2 linked regions of the Daphnia pulex genome follow. The protein of the gene in region 1 purifies or fractionates together with the protein of each later gene. This does not show direct contact. Links are inferred from orthologs where the notes say so. Each region holds a gene or a part of one and is shown in the gene's direction. Other genes may lie near its edges. The genes, in order: isoleucine--tRNA ligase, cytoplasmic-like; leucine--tRNA ligase, cytoplasmic-like.

Region 1 (6,888 bases):
ATAAATTTATTTTTAAGTATTTATTTTATTAGGAAAATCAAAATAATGAATTTGTATACGAAACAATGGAGTGGCCGGTGGCGTCACTAATACTCTGCGGGTGAATTTAAAAACTAAGTCAAATTATATTTGATTTTCTTGTTATCATATTCTAATGAACTATAAGGTTAGTGATTCTAAGATAAATCATTCTTATTAGGCTGAAGTGGTGTCCTACAATATGGCGTATTTGATTAGTTTGTATCCTTGAAATTGATAAGAAAACAGAAGCAGGTGTAATTAGTCAGTATGGTATAATTTTACCTCTGCGGTCATCTCTCATTGTTCATAATAAGGTTGCTATAAATAGAAACATAATTTAATGAAAGATACCAAGCAATTCAAAATTGCTCTTAGTCGGCAGTTGTTACAGGTGAAAAGATCGTTGACACCTTCTGGGTGTGTTATCGTAGTAACGTTTTCAGCCATTCTTATCGGAGTTTTCATCGGCGGCTGCATCAGTAATGAGTACCACAGACTCCCACAATACTGTAAGTAATGCGTTTGACGCACAATGTAGATAATATTAATGTCATCTTGTAGAAATATCTGTGCGCAAATAATGCAACTGAAATGTCAAATGGATAACCTAATTCATCTATCCCCGCCAGATCGAAGTTTGTCGAAATATTCAGGTACATATAAAATGTTTCATATGACGCCAACAATCTTACGAAACTTGTGTTATCTATCAGCTGCTCATGACGAAAAACAAACTAACGCAGACTATAATAATCAGCTTCAGTCTAGATTGATTCGTTTTGTATGGCCGTTGATTGTGTAGCGACGTAGTTTCGTTATTTGTGCTTGAATTTCAAATTTGTGCTGAAAATGCAAAGTTGTCTCTCGTTTTTAGTGGGCTTATTTTTATTACTTCTCATTGACAAGCCATCAACTTTAATCGCTAGTTGTCAACATCAAATGTGCGATCTCACGGTCGGACCCACGAAATTGGTTGAACTTGTCAATCTTGATAGTGACTTCGAGAACGGTCAAATTGACCCATGGATTGAGCAGTCGGAGTCTGGTGTCAAGTGGAGAGTCGAGAACAAAATTTTGCCTTGGGAGCCAGGAAATGTGGCTCCTACACCGACCAACGGATCGACTTATCTCCGAGTTGATCGTGGATCGACTTTGTCGTTCGGTGTGGCTGTTCTGCGCAGTCAGACCTTCACCCTTGGGTCTGACACCGAAGTTTCCTTTTCATTCTCCTTTTGGATTCGTTCTAAATGGCCACAATTCACAAACTTGGAGGTGATTAAATTATTATTTTATATTATCAGAAGGACGGACTTTGTTTAAATGTTAATTATCTAATTGATGTGCAGTTGTATCTGGCCAGAAACGGAAATGAAGGTTTGCTTTCAAATTTGTTCGAGCATTCCCATATCAACAATCGAGTTTGGCAGTCTCAGACCGTTTCAATAACGGACGATTCATCCTCTAATTTGACGGTATTAAATTTGTATTCGTTTTCTTGTTTGAGATGTGTCTTTTTTAATCTGGAACTTTGTGCCTTACGAAAGTAGTTGGTGTTTTACGCTTATTGCGGGACGAATGCTGAAGATGCTGTCGCCATCGACGACCTCCGTTTCATTTCTTCTCAAGAGTCTTCGTCAACCACATCGACTACACTGACCAAAACTTCTTCATTGACGACTGCTACTCCAGTGACTTCATCTACCACATCGACTGGAACAACTCTGTCCACCACGTCCACCACGTCCACCACGTCCACCACGTCCACCACGTCCACCACGTCCACCACGTCTACCACGTCTACCACGTCTACCACGCCAACAACCTCGACATCTTCAAATGATTTTGAATTGACGGAGAACTCAACGGGTCCTATTACTTCTACAATAAGCACGGAAATCCCTGAAACATCAACGTCGGGTACGGAAACCGTTGAAACATCACCACCAGCCATTACAACCACATCTGCTACTCCTTTACCAACCACCAGTGATCAAACTACAACCGTTACAACTGAAGAAACGACAACAGAGGAGCAATCGACAGGGATTACGTCAGCAGGATCGACTGAATTTACCGACATAACAGACGCTATAACAACGACCACCGAACTCGCAACAACTATTCCAGAAGGAGGTACGGCATGTGAAAACGTATTTCAATTATTTGAGCTACATCCCTTTGCAATCCTGCTGTTATATCCCTACTACAATCACTTTACATTGGAATTGATGATTTTTCTTTTGAATTTTATTTGCAGAAGATTGTCCATCGTATTTGAAAGGAAATACTAAACTGCCTTGCTGGACCTTGGGTGGGAAATGTTATTGCTTTTTCACCGACGCCGTAAGAAACCAATCACGATTTCAGATTTTTTTTGTTATGAGGTTCAAATTTCAACAAATTTTCAGGTCGGCAAGAATTGGATATCCGCGGATACCTTTTGTAAAGATGAAGGTATGGGTTTGCTCAGTCTTGAAACTGTAGAGGAGGACAAGTTAATTTACGACCATATCAAAATTACACCAGGTAAATTGTCAAGTGAAAATCGTGCAATGAATAAATTATATTTTTTTTCCTGCGTGAATCTAGAGTTGAACAGCGTCAGCTATTGGACTTCAGGGATGTATTCCCTGGATGGAGAAAAAATATGGGAATGGGCATCTACAGAACCCTTTCAGCCGTTCACTTACGTGAATTGGAGTCCAGGCCAACCTGATAACAACGGACCGGGTTATTGCCTTCACCTTGATTTAATCAAAACTTTTAGTGCTGGTTATTGGGCTGATATATTTTGCACTAATTCTTTCAGATTCATTTGCGAATCAATTGATTAACTTGGTAAAATCCAGATGTAATAAATAGATCTGCAATTATTTATTTATATATATTTTTCGTGTAAAATTTTTTTTATATCAGTGTGTTATCAATTCGAAATTTATACGAAAATAAAAATACACCAGCAATCAGCATACCGCTTGAGTTTTGACTTCTTAAGTTAATTGTATCTCATAACCACTAGTTTAGATCCATCATGGATCCATCTGTGAGACACAATTAAAGAGCTTATGCATTTTTCAATGTAAGATAATAAGATATCGTGATTTGTTGAGTTTTGTTTCGTGATTTCCCCTCCCAGCCTCCTTCATCAGTTCCTCTTTTCCTGTTCACGTTGCCCTTGAAATACGTATGTTGAAAGTGTGGCAACGTTGCGTTTGGTAGCAGACGAATTTTTCTTGAAATTCTGATGTAAAATTCAGCAATTCAGCGATCAAGAGCCGGAAATCTCGTGGAAGATAGATAAGCTACTGTTTCTTGGATTGATTCATTTATTTTTAGGTAATTATAAAGTTATCATTGCATGCATTTAGTTTATTTCATAGAAGTATTTGGTTTGATGAGAAAATCAAATTTATCGCTCCTTATGTCAGCAATGTGAACTCAATACCAGTTTTTCTTGTTATTGTGTCAAAAACAGTTTATGTGGCACTTTGTAAGTTTACAGAATCGTTTATTTTGCTTGGTTAAAACTCTTTACAAGTAGGAAATTGATACCATGTTAACAGTCCATCATATGTTTTTTACGAAATGTAAAGACATTTTTCTGCACACTTTTTTTTACAGTTAGAAATGGTGGAACCAGTTCCCGAATCAATTGATTTTGCTCAGGAAGAAGGAAAAATCTTGGAATACTGGAAGAAAATTGATGCATTTAAAACCAGTTTGAAATTGTCCAAAGGGAAACCTAGGTAATGCAAATCAATCCATTTAATTTGCATCTTAAAAATTACAAATTTAACATTTTGATTTTATTTTTACTTATCATAGGTACACATTCTATGATGGACCTCCATTCGCTACTGGCCTTCCTCATTATGGGCACATCTTAGCTGGAACTATCAAGGATATTGTCACCCGATATGCTCATCAAAATGGTTTTCATGTTGAGAGGCGTTTTGGATGGGACACACATGGCCTTCCAGTTGAATATGAAATTGACAAAACTCTTGGGATCAAAGGCCCAGAAGATGTCATGAAAATGGGAATTGCCAATTACAACGCCGAGTGCAGAAAGATTGTCATGCGTTACGCAGAGGACTGGGAGACCATTGTCAACAGAATGGGACGTTGGATTGGTAAGTAAAAATTTCCTTCTATCAACTTCTTTTGTTTCAATTACTATTTTTTAAATCATCTTTTCAATGTTTTGTGTTTCAGATTTCGAGAATGACTACAAAACCCTTTACCCGTGGTTCATGGAATCAATCTGGTGGGTTTTCAAGCAACTCTTCGAGAAGGGGCTAGTCTACCGTGGATTCAAAGTGATGCCTTTCTCGACGGCTTGTAGTACTCCATTGTCCAACTTCGAGTCGGGACAGAACTACAAAGAAGTGGTTGATCCGGCAGGTAAATCATATATTTCTATTTACATTCAAGCCATTCTTAATTACTTGTCTTTTAAATACAGTAATTGTTAGCTTCCCGCTTGACGATGAGCCGTCAGTGTCTATTCTCGCATGGACCACTACTCCATGGACACTGCCGAGTAATCTTGCACTTTGCGTCAACGCCACGCTGGACTATGTTCGAGTTAAAGGTTTGTTTAAGACAACTGTAACTATTAAATAAAGTAAAACCTAAAACAATTTTATTCTCCATATTTCTTGATAGAAAAAGCAACAGAAAAGGTTTACATCATGATGGAAGCTCGTCTCAGTGCACTTTTCAAATCTGGAGAAGAATACGAAATTGTGGAACGATTCAAAGGAGAAGTTCTCAAGGGAAAAACATATCTGCCACTGTTCCCTTACTTTGCCAGCGTAATTATGAAATTAAAAGATAATTAAATTCTGTCGTAATTTAAATCATGATTTTTTTTTACAGTTGAAGACTTCCGGCTCTGGAGCATTTAAAGTTTTAACGGATTCCTACGTCACCGACGAATCCGGCACTGGTATCGTTCACCAAGCCCCATACTTTGGTGAGGACGATTACCGAGTTTGCCTGGCAGCTGGCATTATCTCAAGAGATCAGGAGATGATTTGTCCTGTGGATGATGGAGGAAGATTCATTGATCCAGTTACTGATTTCGCCGGCCAGCACGTCAAAGATGCAGACAAGAACATTATCAAAATGTTGAAAGACTGTGGCCGATTGGTGAATTCCGGCACCGTAAAGCACAGCTATCCTTTCTGCTGGCGCTCTGAAACACCCCTTATCTACCGTGCTGTTCCTTCTTGGTTCATCCGTGTGGAGCAAATGTCCAAACAGCTGTTGGAAAACAACCAGAAAACTTATTGGTAACAAACGTTATACATTTCGTGTTACTGCGTGTTGACCCATATGAATTGTATTTAGGGTGCCCGACTTTGTCAAAGAAAAACGGTTCGGCAACTGGCTGCGTGACGCCAGAGATTGGGCCGTCAGTCGCAACCGTTACTGGGGCACTCCAATTCCCATTTGGATGTCGGAAGATGGCGAAGAGGTGGTGTGTGTCGGATCCATCGCCGAGTTGAAAGAACTCACGGGCATTGAATTGACTGATTTGCATCGCGAGAACGTTGATGGCATCACTATTCCCTCCAAAATTCCCGGTCGGCCACCCTTGAAACGTGTCTCAGAGGTTTTCGACTGTTGGTTCGAATCTGGATCCATGCCTTACGCTCAAGTCCACTACCCGTTTGAAAACAGGAAAGAATTTGAGGACTGTTTCCCTGCCGATTTCATTGCCGAAGGCATTGATCAAACACGCGGATGGTATGTTTGTTAATAGTAAATTGAGGTAGGCATTTAACGAATAATATCTTGGCTGTTTTAGGTTCTATACGCTGTTGGTTTTGTCGACTGCCCTCTTCAATAAACCACCGTTCAAAAATTTGATTGTCAACGGCTTGGTGTTGGCCAGTGACGGCCAGAAAATGTCAAAGAAGAAGAAGAACTACCCCGATCCAATGCTGGCAAGTTTATTTTTTCTTTTTCTATCTAAACAAAATGGTTTAACTTACTTTTTTCGACTTTTATAGGTTGTCAATAAATTTGGAGCTGATGCTCTTCGTCTCTACTTGATCAACTCCCCAGTTGTTCGTGCGGAGAATCTGCGCTTCAAAGAGGAAGGTGTTCGAGATATTATCAAAGACGTTTTCCTACCCTGGTACAACGCTTACCGATTCTTTGTCCAAAATCTTGAACGTCTCGAGCGCGTAAGTGTTTTCTTTAGATATTGTTAGACATTTTGATATTGATGCATTTTTCTTGGCTACAGGAAGATGGAATTAAATTCGTTTATGAAGAAGAGGCCTCTAATTTGTCAACGAATGTGATGGATCGCTGGATCATTTCCTACACTCAGTCCTTGCTGCTATTCGTCCACCAAGAAATGGCTGCCTATCGGCTGTACACTGTTGTTCCTCGTCTTGTCCGGTTTGTAGACTACCTGACCAACTGGTACGTGCGGATGAACCGTAAGCGACTAAAGGTAAAAATCTTTTCGTTTATTTTCACAACACCTTAGATTAATTGTCATTTGGTCGTTTAGGGAGATGGTGGCAAGGACGATTGTCATCACGCCTTGCAGACACTTTTCAGTGTCTTGTTTTCCATGATCCGTGTTATGGCCCCATTCACGCCCTTCCTGACCGAATTGATGTACCGCAACTTGCGTCATTTAGTGGCCAACCAGAAAGCCGGAACGACGGAATCCGTTCATTTCCTTTCTACGCCTGAACCAAAGTATTAAAAATTCTACAAGCAGTAATCAACATTTACTAATGCTTCATTTTTATTAGGAAACATTTGATTGATGTCAAAATTGAAAATGCCGTGAGTCGGATGCAAGTGGTGATTGAACTCGGACGTGTTCTTCGTGATCGC
Region 2 (7,090 bases), on another chromosome or scaffold:
GGAATAAAAAGCACAAGTGCTGAACTGACAACAATAATTTGACTTAAAAAACACGTGTCAGCTTGACGAACCCACAACCAACATGAATTGTGCAGACGATTTTAGCTTCGTGGCGTTGCCATCATATACAAATCTGTATACTATCTTAAAAGTAAATATGTTAATTTTTAGAAACTCACGTATCTACAAAAAATCACAATAATTTATTTTTTATTGTAGATAGTTGTCATAAAAATTATTTTCTCATTATCAGGCTACAGCCGGTTGCCCGGTGCCTCAGGCTTCTCTGTCATTAATACTTAGCAGACGATAATGTCGTCTCTTCCGTGATACACTGATACAGTTGGTCAGCGGTGTAATCTGGAAACATTTCCATTGCCAAAATCAAGTAGTGTAATACAAAAACGTGTAAGAATTTGTTGAATTTGTAAGAATGGCAACTATAGAAGAAATTGACGATCTCAGTGTCGAGATTATTAATAGTATCAACGATGAAGAAGAAGAACCCAAAGAAAACGCGTCTAGTCCGGCACGTGCCCCTGAACGACCAAACTCTGAATCGGCTGATGCCTCTGTCGTTGCCTTGTCGTCATCAAAAGCATTAGACGAAGCAGACTCAGACGACGAAGATGATGATGTAAATAAGAACAGTTCTGTAATGTAAAAATCATCATTCACTGTTATGTTTTTATTTCAGGATTTTGATGAAACAGTACTCGAAAGATTGGTTGGTCTGACAGAAATGTTTCCAACATGTTTACAAGTTGCAACTGCTAAACTCTTTTATGGTACATTTTCATCTGCTAAAGGTGTGTACACCAATTAATGAAAAAATTGATCTACATGGTTTATTTGTTAATTATGTTTGTCTGTTAACTACAGCCTTTTAACATTTTTTTCTTATTAAGGTTTTTATTCCTTTGCTCGTTCTGCTTCATGGGTTATATTCAGCACATCTGCAATCCTCTTTGCTCCAATTATATTTGAAGTTGAAAGGGCACAAATGGAAGAAATGCAGAAACAACAGCAACGACAGGTATATTTGTGAAAAACACAATTTATACTCTTATCCAATTGATATTGATATTACTGAAATTTAAAAGATATTGTTGGGCCCTGGTGCTGCCATGTCAGGAGGCAGTCCTCATCCAGGAATGGCACCAGTTCCATCACCTATCCGTTAAGATCTCGTCAGATTCTTCGTTCGCCGTAGTCTTTTTTTATGTAACTGGCTTGATAAATTACAACTAATGACATTTAAAAAATTTATTTGTCTCAAGAGCCACAAAAGTTTTTCTAGTTCTCCCTTCCACACACATTATACTAGCCTATTTTTTTAATTTTTTTGTAGGCCTAACAGTCAGTTAATAGTTGTAAAAAGAAGTTTGTCTAGTTTAGTATTTCTAATGGCAATTTACTTAAAACATATTTTTTTGTTTTACATTGATGGCCCCTGAAAAAGAACGAACGACTCGAAGATGAATAAATAGCGGTAACGGAAATTTGTAATCGATGTATATTACTAGGTTATCATCCAGTGCAATCAGTAACTGCATTATTAGATCAATAACAAATAGTTCAAAGAAGACGACAATTTTCGTAGACAATGTTAATCTGTAAGAACATTTATCAAATCTTGAAAATCTGTAACAAACCATGCAGCATTAGCTTTAACAACCTCTCGCGCGACATTGCCTCCATATCCTATTACCAAAATAAGGACTTGTAGGTATAGAATAACAAAACATTCTTTTTAGATTATACCAATGAATGCATCAGCAGGTGGGCATGCTTCCAAGTCCGTTATCCCATCACCTATCATCACAATAATTGAATGGCCAAATTTTTCCCTAATTGTTTGAATCACTTTGCTTTTTCCTCCTGATCTGGAAGTTGGTTGATCTTCATCAAATCCAGCATAGGTTCCATCATGATAAAATTTAAGCTTATTAGCATAAATGTTTTCTTTGGGAATTCCAAGGTGATCTGCAACTGGTTGTATCAAAGATTCAAATCCACCAGATATTAAATATGGTTTTTTGTTTAGAACATGAAGGGTCTTTATTAAAGTTCTAAAAATAAAATTACTGATCAAATAAAATTCATGGAAATATTAAGTAAAAACTGCTTTTACTCTAAATGAGGGGTTATCTTGAGATGTTGTTCTTTGGCAATTTGCACTACTTGATCATAGTGAGGTTGAATCAGGTTCTAATAAGACAATATAATCATTTAAAGTATTATGTAATAAAATTTTAATTAACATGAATTAATATACAAGTCTTAGTTTAAGGGCTTCTCTAAAATCCACGTTTCCGGACATAGCTTTGCTTGTCCTATCATAAAATATGTATAGAAAATAGCTACAAACTCAAAATTGAAAAGATAAGCAATTTAGTTGTGTTTACATTTCCTTCACTTGTTGTCCTTTTCCACAACAGAGTGCTAAGTCATCAATTCCTTCTCCAATACACACAGTAGAATCAACATCAAAGCAAACTGCATCAGCTTGTTTAAGCAATGTAATAACGGCTTGTTTTGTGCTCATTTCCACCTATAAAATAGATCTAAAACCGTTGAAAATTTAAGCGCAATGAATGATCGCGTTTCTGAGGCTTCGAAAGAATACAAAAACCTCCCCCTTTATTCTCTTCCACTAATACTTTTAAAGTAAGTGGTTACTAAACAGTGGGACGCGGGAAACGGAACCCGGAAAAAATTTTCAAGCACTTAAGTGATAGGCCTAAAGAAAAAACTTTTTTTTTTATTAGGAAGCCGGTGTTTTAAAAAGGAACCCAGAAAGTGACTCAAAAAATTGTGGAACAGCTCTACTTTATGCAAAATCGCAAGGCGATTCGATTCTAATGCTGCAAAGATAGGAATTAATTTAATTATTGTTTGTGAGATACCTATCGGGGAAAGATTTGGAAATATGAAAGTTTCGTTCTCTTCGAAATGCGCGATTTGAAATAAAAATAAAAAGCTTGCCATTCAATTTGTACAGATAAAGCTTTTCGTGCAAAGATCATTTGGAAATTGGAACCATTTTCAAACCAATTGAGATGCTATCAGACGTTGCTGGTTGCGCATTTGCGCTACTTTAGGCTTTCGCCCCTTTTCCGTCTTTATTATAATTAAATCGCTGAACGTTGAGGAAGGGATTTTAATTTGCGATTTCGAATTTCTTTTTTCGCCGAATCCCCATTCATGTATGTTATAAATATGTAATTAATTAAAGAAAAAATAACATGCATGTAATGTGCACATAAATAAAACGAGATTCCTGGCCTTTTTATATAGCCGCTAGAGCGTGTTGCACACGTGTAATCGGTCAATCAGATAATCGTGAATTGCTGAGGCAAGGCAAGACTTGCGTTTCCCAATTGAATATTCTGTCGTCTGCTTGCCGGACGTAAAAGTCATCGCTTGATAACTTCTTGGATTTTCTTCTTTTTCAATCAGTAAAATACCTCAGGTTATTTCTGATTTTCAGTGTCTATAATATTGTATTTATTTGATTTATATTAGATATGACTGAGAGAAAGGGGCGATTCAAGGTTGATTTTCTTCTGGATCTTGAGAGAGTGATTCAAGAAAAATGGGAAAATGACAAGATATTTGAAGAAGATGCACCTGAAGATGAAACTGCTGAAAAATTCTTTGTTAACTTTCCATATCCTTACATGAACGGGCTGTTGCATTTAGGACATACTTTTACACTAATGAAGTGTGATCTAGCTGTGGGCTATCAGCGATTGAAGGGGAAAAAATGTTTGTATCCATTTGGATTTCATTGCACAGGAATGCCAATTAAGGTAAACTTAAAATCTATTGAAATCACAAATCAAGTTGTTTAATGAAATTTTTTCAGGCATGTGCAGATAAACTGAAACGAGAGATGGAACAGTTTGGATTCCCACCAAAGTTTCCGGAACATGTGGAAGAAGTAGTAGAGGAAGTTCAGGATAATTCAATTCCTAAGGATAAATCCAAGGGTATCTTCCTTATTATAAATTTGTGTAAATTAGTAGTTAATAATGACTAAATTATTTATTTTTGTCATAGGCAAAAAAAGCAAGGCTGTTGCTAAATCAGGCACAGCCAAATACCAATGGCAAATTATGCAAAGTCTTGGCTTAAATGATGAGGAAATCAAGCCCTTCGCTAATGCAGAATACTGGCTTAAATTTTTCCCTCCGTTAGCTAAAAGAGATTTGATGAAGTTAGGCTTGCACGTGAGTTCCTTCAATTCCAGTGTTTAAATTGTTGATTAAATCGGTATTTTTCTTAGGTTGATTGGCGACGGTCGTTTATTACGACAGACGTAAATCCTTTTTACGATAGCTTTGTTCGTTGGCAGTTTTTGCGTTTAAAAGATCGTGGTCACATCCAGTTTGGTGAAAGGTACACCATTTTTTCACCCAAGGACGACCAACCATGCATGGATCACGACCGGGCATCGGGAGAAGGTGTTGGTCCTATGGAATACACACTAATCAAAATGAAAGTGTTGGATCCATTACCCAGTGTCTTGCAGTAAGTTGCTAACAATGATTGCCAATTCCTTCTTTCTATTTTATATGCATCTAATTGGTATTTTCATTTTCAGGCCTTTTAATAAGAAATCCATTTATTTGGTAGCTGCTACTCTTCGACCGGAAACAATGTATGGTCAAACCAATTGCTGGTTGCGACCTGACATGGATTATATTGTCTTTGAAACAAAATCCAATGAGATTTTTGTTTGCACCTACCGAGCAGCTTTGAACATGTCGTTCCAGAAAATGACAGCTGACGTGGGAACAGTTGTGGTTTTAGCCACAATCAAGGGCGAAGTAAGTCTAACGTTATATTGTTGTTTTCACCATTACATTTTGTTATATCTTACCCCTTTTTTATAGCAAATACTGGGTGCGGCATTACAGTCTCCCTTGGCTAGTTTCTCTCCGATTTACACTTTGCCTATGTTGACAATCAAAGAAGATAAAGGAACTGGTATTGTAACCAGTGTTCCTTCTGATTCTCCAGATGATTATGCGGCTCTGCGGGATCTGAAAAACAAAGCTCCCTTAAGGTATTTACAAGTTTCCTGTTCGTCAGTCTTCCACATTTTTCTAAACATTTTTCGGATTTTTAAAATTATTTACAGAGAAAAATACGGAATCAAGGATGAAATGGTTTTACCATTTGAGCCTGTTCCAATTGTAGAAGTTCCTGAACTGGGGAATCTGAGTGCAGTTTATGCATGCGATCGCTTCAAAATCCAGAGTCAAAATGACAGAGATAAACTCCAAGAGGCTAAAGAACTTGTTTATTTGAAAGGTATAATAATTTTCATTAACGAAAGTTAGAAATAGATCTAATTTTGAGTTTTAGGGTTCTACGATGGCGTTCTCCTTGTTGGACCTCATCAGGGCAAGAAAGTGCAAGATGTCAAAAAAGTGATTCAGAAGGAAATGATTGAAGCAGCGCAAGCAGTTGTTTACATGGAACCAGAGAAAACGATCATTTCAAGGTGTGTAATGTTCTTTCACATATTTATTCTGTCGTGTTATATTAATGCAAAATATTGGACATATAGATCAGGTGACGAGTGCGTGGTTGCTCTCTGTGACCAATGGTATCTCGATTACGGAAAGGGAGTTTGGAGGGAACGCACTACAGAAGCTTTGGCGAAAACTGAAACCTATCACGACGAAGTTCGTAAAAACTTTACTGCCACCCTAGATTGGCTTAAAGAGCATGCGTGCTCGCGAACTTATGGTCTTGGCTCGAAGTTGCCTTGGGATGAAAAATGGCTAATAGAATCGCTTTCAGATTCCACCATTTATATGGCGTACTATACGGTCGCGCATTTGTTGCAAGGAAATACTTTTGATGGAAGAGGTACATTATCAAATATCTATAAACATCCAACCTTAGTTAAAACATTTTTTTATTTCGTAATGATGTTACATTTCAGGAGAAAACGCCTTGGGGATCAAAGCCGATCAAATGACACCCGAGGTCTGGGATTACATTTTCTTCAAAGAAGCATCCCTACCCAAGACTACGATTCCTCAAGAGAAATTGAGTACTTTGAAGAAAGAATTCAATTTTTGGTATCCTGTAGACTTGCGCGTATCAGGCAAGGACTTGGTTCCCAACCATTTGACCTATTTTCTATACAACCATGTTGCCATCTGGCCAAACGAACCCAACAGGTAATCAACAATATGCTGGAAAAAATAAGTAAACCAATATAAATGTTTGTTGTTTTACAAATTTTATATTCCAGGTGGCCTCAAGCCATTCGAGCCAATGGTCACTTGCTGCTCAATTCTGAAAAAATGTCAAAATCAACAGGCAACTTCTTGACTCTTTCTGACGCTATTGATAAGTTTAGCGCTGACGGTATGAGGTTAGCCTTGGCTGATTCGGGTGATTCTGTGGAAGACGCAAACTTCGTTGAAGCAATGGCAGACGCTGGTATTTTGAGGTAGCGTTATATTATATTGCAATTAGAATTAACGTACGAGTTGACCCTTTTTTATTTGTACAGGTTGTATACCTTGATTGATTGGGTTAAAGAATGCCTTGCAACAGTGGATCAACTTAGAGATTCGGATTACACGTTTAACGATCAAGTTTTTGATAATGAAATGAATCTCAAAATCGTTGAGACAAATCAGAATTACGATCGCATGCTCTTTAAAGGTACTTAGTTAAATGGAGCCGAAGTTATAATTCTAAAAAATCTAACTTTTCTTTTTAATTTATTCAGAGGCTCTCCGAACTGGGTTCTTTGAATACCAAGCCATCCGTGACACCTATAGAGAAATAAGCATGGGCAACGTTCATAAAAAACTAATTTTGAAGTATATCGAAACTCAAGCTGTTATTCTCTCCCCGATTTGTCCGCACGTCGCGGAACATATTTGGGAACTGCTTGGTCATAAAGAAAGCATATTGAAATCTCGGTGGCCGACAGTTCCTGAATACGACAGCGTTCTCATCAGCGCGGGCGCTTATTTAGACCAGGCTGCTCACGAATTCCGCTTGCGACTGAAAGCATACTTGGCATCACTTACGTCGAAAGGCGCTAAAAAAG

What was found.
Region 2: the proteins of isoleucine--tRNA ligase, cytoplasmic-like (region 1) and leucine--tRNA ligase, cytoplasmic-like purify together in Homo sapiens (affinity purification with mass spectrometry; 7 studies listed by BioGRID and IntAct, counting the BioPlex papers as one, with this or other methods). This does not show direct contact. The link is inferred for Daphnia pulex from reciprocal best matches to the Homo sapiens genes IARS1 and LARS1.

Annotation. Positions count from the first base shown.
Region 1 is NC_060019.1:989,889-996,776, forward strand, and holds the start of isoleucine--tRNA ligase, cytoplasmic-like, read left to right. Parts: upstream 1-3,212; 5' UTR 3,213-3,357; intron 3,358-3,642; 5' UTR 3,643-3,648; coding exon 3,649-3,767; intron 3,768-3,846; coding exon 3,847-4,154; intron 4,155-4,236; coding exon 4,237-4,425; intron 4,426-4,486; coding exon 4,487-4,615; intron 4,616-4,689; coding exon 4,690-4,838; intron 4,839-4,902; coding exon 4,903-5,318; intron 5,319-5,376; coding exon 5,377-5,775; intron 5,776-5,836; coding exon 5,837-5,975; intron 5,976-6,041; coding exon 6,042-6,218; intron 6,219-6,280; coding exon 6,281-6,493; intron 6,494-6,553; coding exon 6,554-6,747; intron 6,748-6,803; coding exon 6,804-6,888. Other genes in the region: mucin-21-like, read left to right, coding at 871-1,293, 1,368-1,493, 1,569-2,154, 2,279-2,364, 2,430-2,547, 2,611-2,855. UniProt on the Homo sapiens protein: Catalyzes the specific attachment of an amino acid to its cognate tRNA in a 2 step reaction: the amino acid (AA) is first activated by ATP to form AA-AMP and then transferred to the acceptor end of the tRNA.
Region 2 is NC_060027.1:4,478,948-4,486,037, reverse strand, and holds the start of leucine--tRNA ligase, cytoplasmic-like, read left to right. Parts: upstream 1-3,326; 5' UTR 3,327-3,461; exon of another isoform or gene 3,462-3,475; intron 3,476-3,528; 5' UTR 3,529-3,530; coding exon 3,531-3,815; intron 3,816-3,871; coding exon 3,872-3,995; intron 3,996-4,065; coding exon 4,066-4,235; intron 4,236-4,291; coding exon 4,292-4,536; intron 4,537-4,609; coding exon 4,610-4,835; intron 4,836-4,901; coding exon 4,902-5,074; intron 5,075-5,149; coding exon 5,150-5,322; intron 5,323-5,376; coding exon 5,377-5,515; intron 5,516-5,581; coding exon 5,582-5,886; intron 5,887-5,962; coding exon 5,963-6,203; intron 6,204-6,277; coding exon 6,278-6,478; intron 6,479-6,541; coding exon 6,542-6,696; intron 6,697-6,763; coding exon 6,764-7,090. Other genes in the region: mitochondrial import receptor subunit TOM22 homolog, read left to right, coding at 434-637, 698-809, 909-1,036, 1,104-1,184; phosphoserine phosphatase-like, read right to left, coding at 1,610-1,704, 1,765-2,072, 2,135-2,211, 2,279-2,336, 2,409-2,548. UniProt on the Homo sapiens protein: Aminoacyl-tRNA synthetase that catalyzes the specific attachment of leucine to its cognate tRNA (tRNA(Leu)).